2 linked regions of the Daphnia pulex genome follow. The protein of the gene in region 2 binds, or shares a complex with, the protein of the main gene of each other region. Links are inferred from orthologs where the notes say so. Each region holds a gene or a part of one and is shown on either strand. Other genes may lie near its edges. The genes, in order: vacuolar protein sorting-associated protein 33A-like and vacuolar protein sorting-associated protein 8 homolog.

Region 1 (4,252 bases), about 2.1 Mb from region 2:
CACAGCAAAAATGTATGCAACACTCTTTTCATTTAGATGTAGAATTATGGGGTAAATATATAACATTAGACTTAGACTAGAGAGTTACCATTTAAAGTTTCAGATAAACTAGTAAGGAAACTCTCACCATTTATTATATTTGTCGTGGCAATCAGATAATCTGTAGGTGCTAAAAAATTTTAAGGAAAAAAAAAGTTATTGTTTAAGTTGTTATTTGCAAAATATGTTGAACGCTAATTACTTACCATCATCCCTTTTAGATAGAAATCTAAGAGCAGAAATCTCTGCGTAGGTACATCCACCGAGGAAGAATACTAATGTGACCTTGGTTTCTTCAATCGAACTATGGACACTATTTCTAGAATTTCCTAAAATACAGTCGAAGTGTGATTATAAGGTCTCATAAAAACTAAGAAACGGAAACAAACTTCTTAAATCAATGGAAATTGGTTGAGTTTCTTGAACCAAATGTCCTGGAATCAAATTAAGCACATCGGAAATCTGCTTCCATCCGGGCTTAGCTGCCCATTGAATCAATCGTACACTTAGTGGCGCGTAAATAGAATGTACATAGGAGATGTCAGTAGGTGTGATTTCATTGACGTCATCTACCGTAAGATTCAGCGCTCTCCGTATAACAGTAAAAGGACGATTACTTTGCTGCAATCGAAGGAGACCACAAGCTTCAAGATTGTGAAGCGTAATCATGTGCTGGAATCCGTAAGCGTGAATAATTTCTCTTTTGTAGTGTTCTAAGACGCGCGGCTTCAGGCCACTATTGGCAGCAGATTGCAGACAAATCAAGCGAAGAATCTGTGATAATTATAAATGTAAAATAAAGGGAAATGGCAAAATGTATCCAACTGCCACTTCAGTTACCTTAGTCAATGGTTCCTGCTTACAAATGAAATCTTCAATGTATGGACAAACTTTGTCAGTATCAATTCCATTCAAAAGGTCTTGCTCCACTTGAAGGGCCTCTTGGAATGCTTCTGAAATAGTTATTTCTTTAATCAATTCAGCGACAGATGTATCTGTAAAAAAATTATGCGTAATACAGCTTAAATAATGCGTAATACAGCTTAAATAATGGCCAGGAAAAAATACGACAAAGTATTTACGTAGTGCTAAAGACTGTTTGGTGGCTTGCATCTGCGGTAGTTTTGCTACAAACTGCTTCAACTCGCTGACAGTTTTTGCTTCGTGTCGTTCTTCATACTGAGCTGAAATAGCTTTAGCTTTGCGACTGAGTGCAGTACCCACGGCTGAAAAGTTCTTGTCCCTGTGCAAAATAAATAACTTTAAAACTGTCGGAAGCAAAATTTGTCTGATTCAAAATTTCACCTCAAATCAGCGTAAAGCTCTTCGGCCGAGTTTAGAACAACAGATTTAACAGAGCTATCATCAGAGCGAGGTGACTGGCCCGCAGGTGAAGAGGCTTGAAACTTTTCTCCTGGAAGCTTGACTGTATCTAAATAACAATGAAACCACAAAATGCAAGTAAAATAATTGTTTTACACAGAAGCTAACAATACTTTCTTACTATGTTTTATTCCATAGAATTCGTCGATAAGACCCTCATAGGTCAACTGAGTGACAACAGGAGTTATCAAATCTACAGTCCTATCAATGATCATGAGAGTGTCGAACAACGGAGACATGGGGGGATCACAGTCTACCCCAATATCACGTCGCATTCGAGTCATCAATTCGAATACGTTACGGGCATGGCGTCCCTTACCCACAACGTTGGGGAAAATGCCATATAAACTTTGGAGGGACATTAACCCATGAGCAATTTGGTGTAAGGAGCTGATTTCATTATCAACATATAGATCCTGGGAAGAAATTTGAAGAAATCAATGACAAGCAATCCCTTTCAAAGTTTGGCTCATAAATAAATACCTTGAAAACATTATCGAGTTCCATTGAAATGACATCACTATCCAGTGGGAAAAAATCAACAGGCAGTTCATCAATAGAAGTAAGAGTTCCATACACTCCTTTGTCCTAAATGAAGTAATAATTTTGTCAACAATTTCTTCTTCGCTGATTTAAGTAACTTTAACCAACCTTGAGCCGTTGCTCACATACTGCACTTCGTCGGGAGACAAAAATTAACTGATATTCCTTACTAGCAGAATGTCCTTGGCTTTCTTCGCTGAAATGTAAATTAACTAATTGTTGTCTATTTAAAGTTAAAATATGTAGATTATTCATACCTGTGCAAGTTATCTGCAATACAATCCATCAGCTCAACTTCAGGTCTTGTGATGAACAGTATATTTTTAACAGATATGGAAGGCAAACGCCCAGGTTTTAACTGGAACATTTTTACAACATCTAGTTCCTTAAGAAAACTGTATTCTGCCACCAAACCAATGGGGCCAGTGAGTTGTTCATCCCAAAATATCGCCTAGCATAATTGATGAATTTACGTAAATTTCTTAAATGGAATAGCACACACCAAAATACCTTTGTTCCACTGAACTTCTCTAAAAGAGAAACAATATCCTGTAAAAATAACAAAACTGTTGACAAAATTTATTTTTACTGTATAAAATTGTACCTTTCTTGCCAACTCTCTCAGCATACTAAAGTTGACTTTGCCAGCTGATAAATGAGCCATGGCTGCTTTGTTAATAAAATTTGACTTATAAATTGGTAAACAGATTCGATCTGTTAGATTTAATTCTTTAAGATACGTCTAAGTACGTCGCTATTAACTGTCCAGATTCTAGATTTCTTAAGCGAAGGGTTTCCGAGCTTTTGTTTCTTTGTTTCTGATGAGGAAATATTTCGATTATTTCGTAAATGATTGGTATTGATAGTTGCTTTAAAGTATATAGTCAACTAGTAAATAGACCCAAGCTGAGAAACAGTGACCACTGACAAGTATCAGCACAACTGACAGCTTACAGTTGTAAACACTGAACAGCTGAGATAGGAACCATACAGTGTTGCCATTTTCCGAAACGGCTATCCTGGACAGTTGGCAAAAGCGGCAAAAGCAAAACACGGATTATGGAAACACATATTACACTTTCCTCTCATTAGTCATTTCGCTTATCATAAAGTACATTAAATAAATTCATAATCATTGAACTCCTATTTTATTGGACGTCCACAAAAACAATCACCTTGTTTTAATGGTGTTTTAAAAATGGCGCTCTTCTGGCTTCAACTTGACAAAAGTTTCACTGACCTCCCACAGCTTCTTGGCTAATTCGAGGTCTTTTGCCAACTTGGACGTTTTAGCAATCTGTGATTTTAAAAAAATTGTATTTTTAATTCGAAAAATATTTAAAACTTGCATTGCAAATATTATTTCCGGTACATCTTTATCAACTTTTAGATTATCGTTGTATGCATCAGCTTTGATTTGCAGGCATCTATATTATTAATAAATGTTTTTTGTTTTAAGTTAATATTTTACCTTACAATCGCTGAAATATTCTCCTGTAACGTTGGCGACTTCGTCAGCCACAGCCAAGTGAATACTTGTCTGCGCACCTTCTTTGGCCGACTGAAATATAGAAGGTAGACAGTTATAACGTTCAACGGATATGTAAATCAATCTCAGTAATGAATGAGGAAACAAAATTGAATTCTCAGTTTTCTCGTCTTAAACCTTTGAGAAAATAGAAGACACATGTGATGCAATTTTCACTAAAGTCTCATAAGGAAGGAAACGACCAAATTCAGTTTGAACGACACCCGGATGAAGAGCATTGACAGTAATGTTTTTACCTATAAGAAAAAATAATAAGTTAATATACATTTAATTTCTAGTGTATGTATGCTTGATGAAAATGAAGTATTCACAACTAATTAAACAGTGGAATGAGATTTTTTAAAATGCAGCAGAAAAAGAAAAAAAAATAAAAAACCTTAAAGAAAAGTGGAATGCAGACCGCGGCTACCATCTGGAACCCTAATTAAATTACTCGAGTAATATTTGGCTGAATCAGAATACAACAACATATAAAAAATGATGTTACATGTTGGAGCGTTGCGAAAGATTTCAGTTTTGACAGCACCAGGATGCAAACAGTTGACGGTTACACCTTATCGTATGCAACAATTGAATTTAAAATTGAGGTGATTAAAAATATCAAAATTAGCTTGAACTATCAAACAACAAGGTTGCTTCATTGTTGATCATTTAAATTTACTTGTACTTTAATTATTATACCGGATTTGATAACGAGAGGTGCGAGATGTCGAGTACAGAGAACTTGGCACAACTTGG
Region 2 (3,445 bases):
CAGTGGGTTACAGGTGCACCGTTGTTTTTTCTTCTAACTCCCTTAAGATAACATTACATTAAAAATAGAGAAAAATGGAATGGACTGTATTATTACTTTGCTCATAAACAGAGGGGGACCATATAGCGTGATGGAACTTGTAAATTGTTCGTGTCACACTGTCACCAACTCAGCAACTCAGCATAAACCGTCCAACCATCACAAACAGATATTGATTATATCGCAAAGAAACTTATGACCAGATTCACATAAAAGTTAATTATTATGAATTTTCATTGATTGGGGTGACAGACCTCAAATTAAACCTTGAAGGATTTTTAATGGGGCTAAGTGATTGTCGGATCATTCCAACCAACTTATGGAAACATGTTGGATCATTTTGGATGACAGGCCAGACAATTTTAGCCAACTAATGTCTAAATCTGAATAAATGCCTTTTTTTGCAATCATCAAGTGATGGGCGCTGTACAGTTATTGTATAAACGGGAAAATATACGAGAAACGTTCTCTTTCCTTCTAGGATTGTGAATGAACCCAACAAGAAATTATACGTAACACGCACATTCAAGTCGTATTTGCAATAATAAGTCAACAATTTGAATAGTTTTATCGAAAAAGTTTCATACTGGATAAATATTTGGGTATCACTCGAATAGGTTCTGTAATGCAGAGGACAATCCGATTCTTGCCTTGTAGATCGAATCCAGCTGAGCAGGTGACAACTGAGGAACTGGCAACTGCTCCTGGAAAATGACAAAGAGTTAGAAAAATAACAATTACATTCAACAAAACTCTTTACTTGATTAGGGACAGTAGAATCATCTTGCTCTGGCTCTGCAATGATCGGTGTTGGCTGACAACGGATACATTGCTTGATTTCCCCTCGTAAGCAGCTGCTATGGAAAGCGTGACGACATTGGAATGCAGTAATGGATGGATTCCGGCCGTTTTGAAGCAGACGATTACAGCTGCTGCAGCGGGACGCACGCAACGCAATACCTTTCCGTGACTGGCGGTAGCGCTGAGACAGTAAACTGTGTACATCCCCTTGAAGCAGTCGCGTGCTGATCCGTAGCAATGTTGTCTCGTACGTGTAGTTATCCAAAAGACCTGTTAATAAATGAATCATTATATTAAAAAAACTTTACCTCAATGAATTAGATTTTTTTTTTTGTGTTACCCATTATAAGTTGGCGAAGATCCCCTAAAGTGCCTCCTGTTGTTTCGGGATCCTCAATCAAACGAGGTAACACTTTAGTTAAGCTTATTTGACCCTGGATGCTTGTCACGACTTTTTGAGTAACTTCTCTCAAACCTTAAAATCGTTAATTGTTAACGGACGGCCTTTTTTTAAATAAAAATTTCCAAAACCTGAGATGATGGAAGCGGAAGCATCCGGATTTCCCTTCAAGCTTCTTTGCGGAAGAAGCAACTCGTCGAGAAGGGTTAACCAAACCCTTTCGCGTTCCTTTTCTGTTAAAGAACTTGCTTGTCGCTGACAAAAATCAATTACTGATTGAGAAGCAGCCTCGAAGTCTTGCCAACCCTCTGTTTCAACAAAGAGTTGTTTAATGGAACCTTGAAGCTGGCCGAGTAGTAAATCGTAAGCGGCTGTTATCTCTCCTTGACGTTCAAGAATTGCCGCCTCAGCTTCGACAACGGCAAACTTGCGACAGATTTCTAACAAACGCGGCAGATGTGGGATATCGGCTAGTTGAACGTAAGACGTAAGTCGCTCCGGCTCTAGCTCCGCCATAAGTTCAGCAAATTGCTCAATACAATGACCGTCATCATCGATCAAAACAGCAGTATTGGTTGCCCCATCTATATCTTGAGTCCTATTTCAACGGAGGTAAGAGAACATCGTCTTTTAAAATTTGAAGCATCAATGTAAAATAAGTCGATAAAAATTAAGTTAAAACTCACGCCAAATCAAGAATAGCTTCAAGAAAACGATATCGTTCATTTGGAAAAGGTATCAGGGCAGTGACCGCCTCATCAATTAATGCAGGTTTGTTAACAGCCAAAAAGACGGCCAATGAAGTTGCGTTTAGTTGGACTAGCAGTTGGATATGTTTCAAAATCAATCGTTCCATCAGTTGGACATTGGATGCAACAGATTCAGTGAAAACGTTCCGCAGGAAGTGAAGAATGTCGCCGTGGCGAGAGGTATCGTCAATGTAGCACTGGAACACATTTTCCCAATCTTGGCGCTGCTCGTAGATATACTCGCATACACGATAACTAATAAAAAAGTATTATAAATTGAATGTGAAAATGGTTTCAAATTGATTTTTGATTTTAAATGATATTACAATTTAGCGGATTGAGCTTGTTCAAGTAGCTTTTCTTCATCTTCTGTTCCCAATGATAGCTGGCCTTTAATCTGAAGAAGTTGAAGCAGTGCTTGTTGCCTTTCTTCGAATCTACTCTGAACTCGAGTTTCTTTAGAAGACAAAGAACAGACCAAATCTACAAGCTGCTGAAAAAGACCACGTTCCAAATGAATAGAGTCGTGGCGAGGTGAGCGACTTATTTGACGAGCAATGAATGTGAAAAGAGAGCAAATCTGATCCGGCTGTAACAATAATTATAAACAAGTTACAAACAAGTTAGAATTACTATTAGGCAGAAAAAGATGTTTACCGAAAACTGAGACGAGTTGATCATAATTTCAACCAGAATGTCTATTACTCTCTGCTGGCGTCTTGCTCCCATCTCGCCAATGAATTCAGATTCTTCAAAAGCTAATGAAAGAGCATTGAGTAATTCTTGGGTATTAAACTCTAGTAGAGTGCGCAGGAATGGATATGGAGGCTCATCCTCCGAAGCTCGTTTACTGTGCAGGCACGTCAGACTAGTTAACACTTGATGTTTGACTTTAACACGGGAATCTTCGTCAATTTCTCCAACGGGATAAGCCCTGCCAGCCAAACAACATGAGATGTAGACCAGGATGACGTGGCCCAATTTGAGATCTTGTTCAGAATACGGCGGACCTAAGGGTATACGGTACATGGAATGGTTAACTAGTTAGTTTTATGGAATCATGTTATATAATGCTGAACCTAATTTGACTGCTCCTTGCAACTGTTTCATCAGATCTTCCAGCGGACTGACGTAATCCTGAAGCGCCCGTGTATGCACGTAAAGGTAAGCGTGACACAACCCCTGGTTATGCGACAACGTCAGAATCTGATGCAGATCCAAGCTAGAGACATCGACGTGGCTGATGCAGCTCTCCAGAGCCTCAAGCCAGCCCTTATCTTCATAAAGGGCTACAAATTGCTGCATAATAGAAGGTGAGATAGATTGCAAACGGTCGTTGAGAAAGTGGGGTTCTAACAGTTGAAGGAAGCAGTCTCGGGCCACTTCGAACGACGAAATTCTTGGATAAATTTCATCAAAAAGCAACGATCTACGATAAAATGGAAACCATGTTAAA

What was found.
Region 1: vacuolar protein sorting-associated protein 8 homolog (region 2) and vacuolar protein sorting-associated protein 33A-like share a complex: the UniProt entries of both Drosophila melanogaster proteins name them as parts of the class C core vacuole/endosome tethering (CORVET) complex. The link is inferred for Daphnia pulex from reciprocal best matches to the Drosophila melanogaster genes Vps8 and car.

Annotation. Positions count from the first base shown.
Region 1 is NC_060022.1:3,591,145-3,595,396, forward strand, and holds the start of vacuolar protein sorting-associated protein 33A-like, read right to left. Parts: upstream 2,952-4,252; 5' UTR 2,630-2,951; coding exon 2,570-2,629; intron 2,515-2,569; coding exon 2,476-2,514; intron 2,417-2,475; coding exon 2,223-2,416; intron 2,162-2,222; coding exon 2,074-2,161; intron 2,011-2,073; coding exon 1,906-2,010; intron 1,839-1,905; coding exon 1,544-1,838; intron 1,472-1,543; coding exon 1,345-1,471; intron 1,283-1,344; coding exon 1,122-1,282; intron 1,035-1,121; coding exon 880-1,034; intron 814-879; coding exon 429-813; intron 369-428; coding exon 246-368; intron 170-245; coding exon 72-169; 3' UTR 1-71. Other genes in the region: retinol dehydrogenase 13-like, read right to left, coding at 3,158-3,262, 3,437-3,526, 3,632-3,750. UniProt on the Drosophila melanogaster protein: Core component of the class C core vacuole/endosome tethering (CORVET) and the homotypic fusion and vacuole protein sorting (HOPS) tethering complexes involved in endo-lysosomal vesicle trafficking and lysosome biogenesis.
Region 2 is NC_060022.1:5,734,355-5,737,799, forward strand, and holds the end of vacuolar protein sorting-associated protein 8 homolog, read right to left. Parts: intron 3,419-3,445; coding exon 3,069-3,418; intron 3,000-3,068; coding exon 2,647-2,999; intron 2,579-2,646; coding exon 2,316-2,578; intron 2,245-2,315; coding exon 1,927-2,244; intron 1,839-1,926; coding exon 1,372-1,838; intron 1,316-1,371; coding exon 1,181-1,315; intron 1,111-1,180; coding exon 800-1,110; intron 744-799; coding exon 645-743; 3' UTR 553-644; downstream 1-552. UniProt on the Drosophila melanogaster protein: Part of the class C core vacuole/endosome tethering (CORVET) complex involved in endo-lysosomal vesicle trafficking and lysosome biogenesis by facilitating docking and fusion of endosomal vesicles.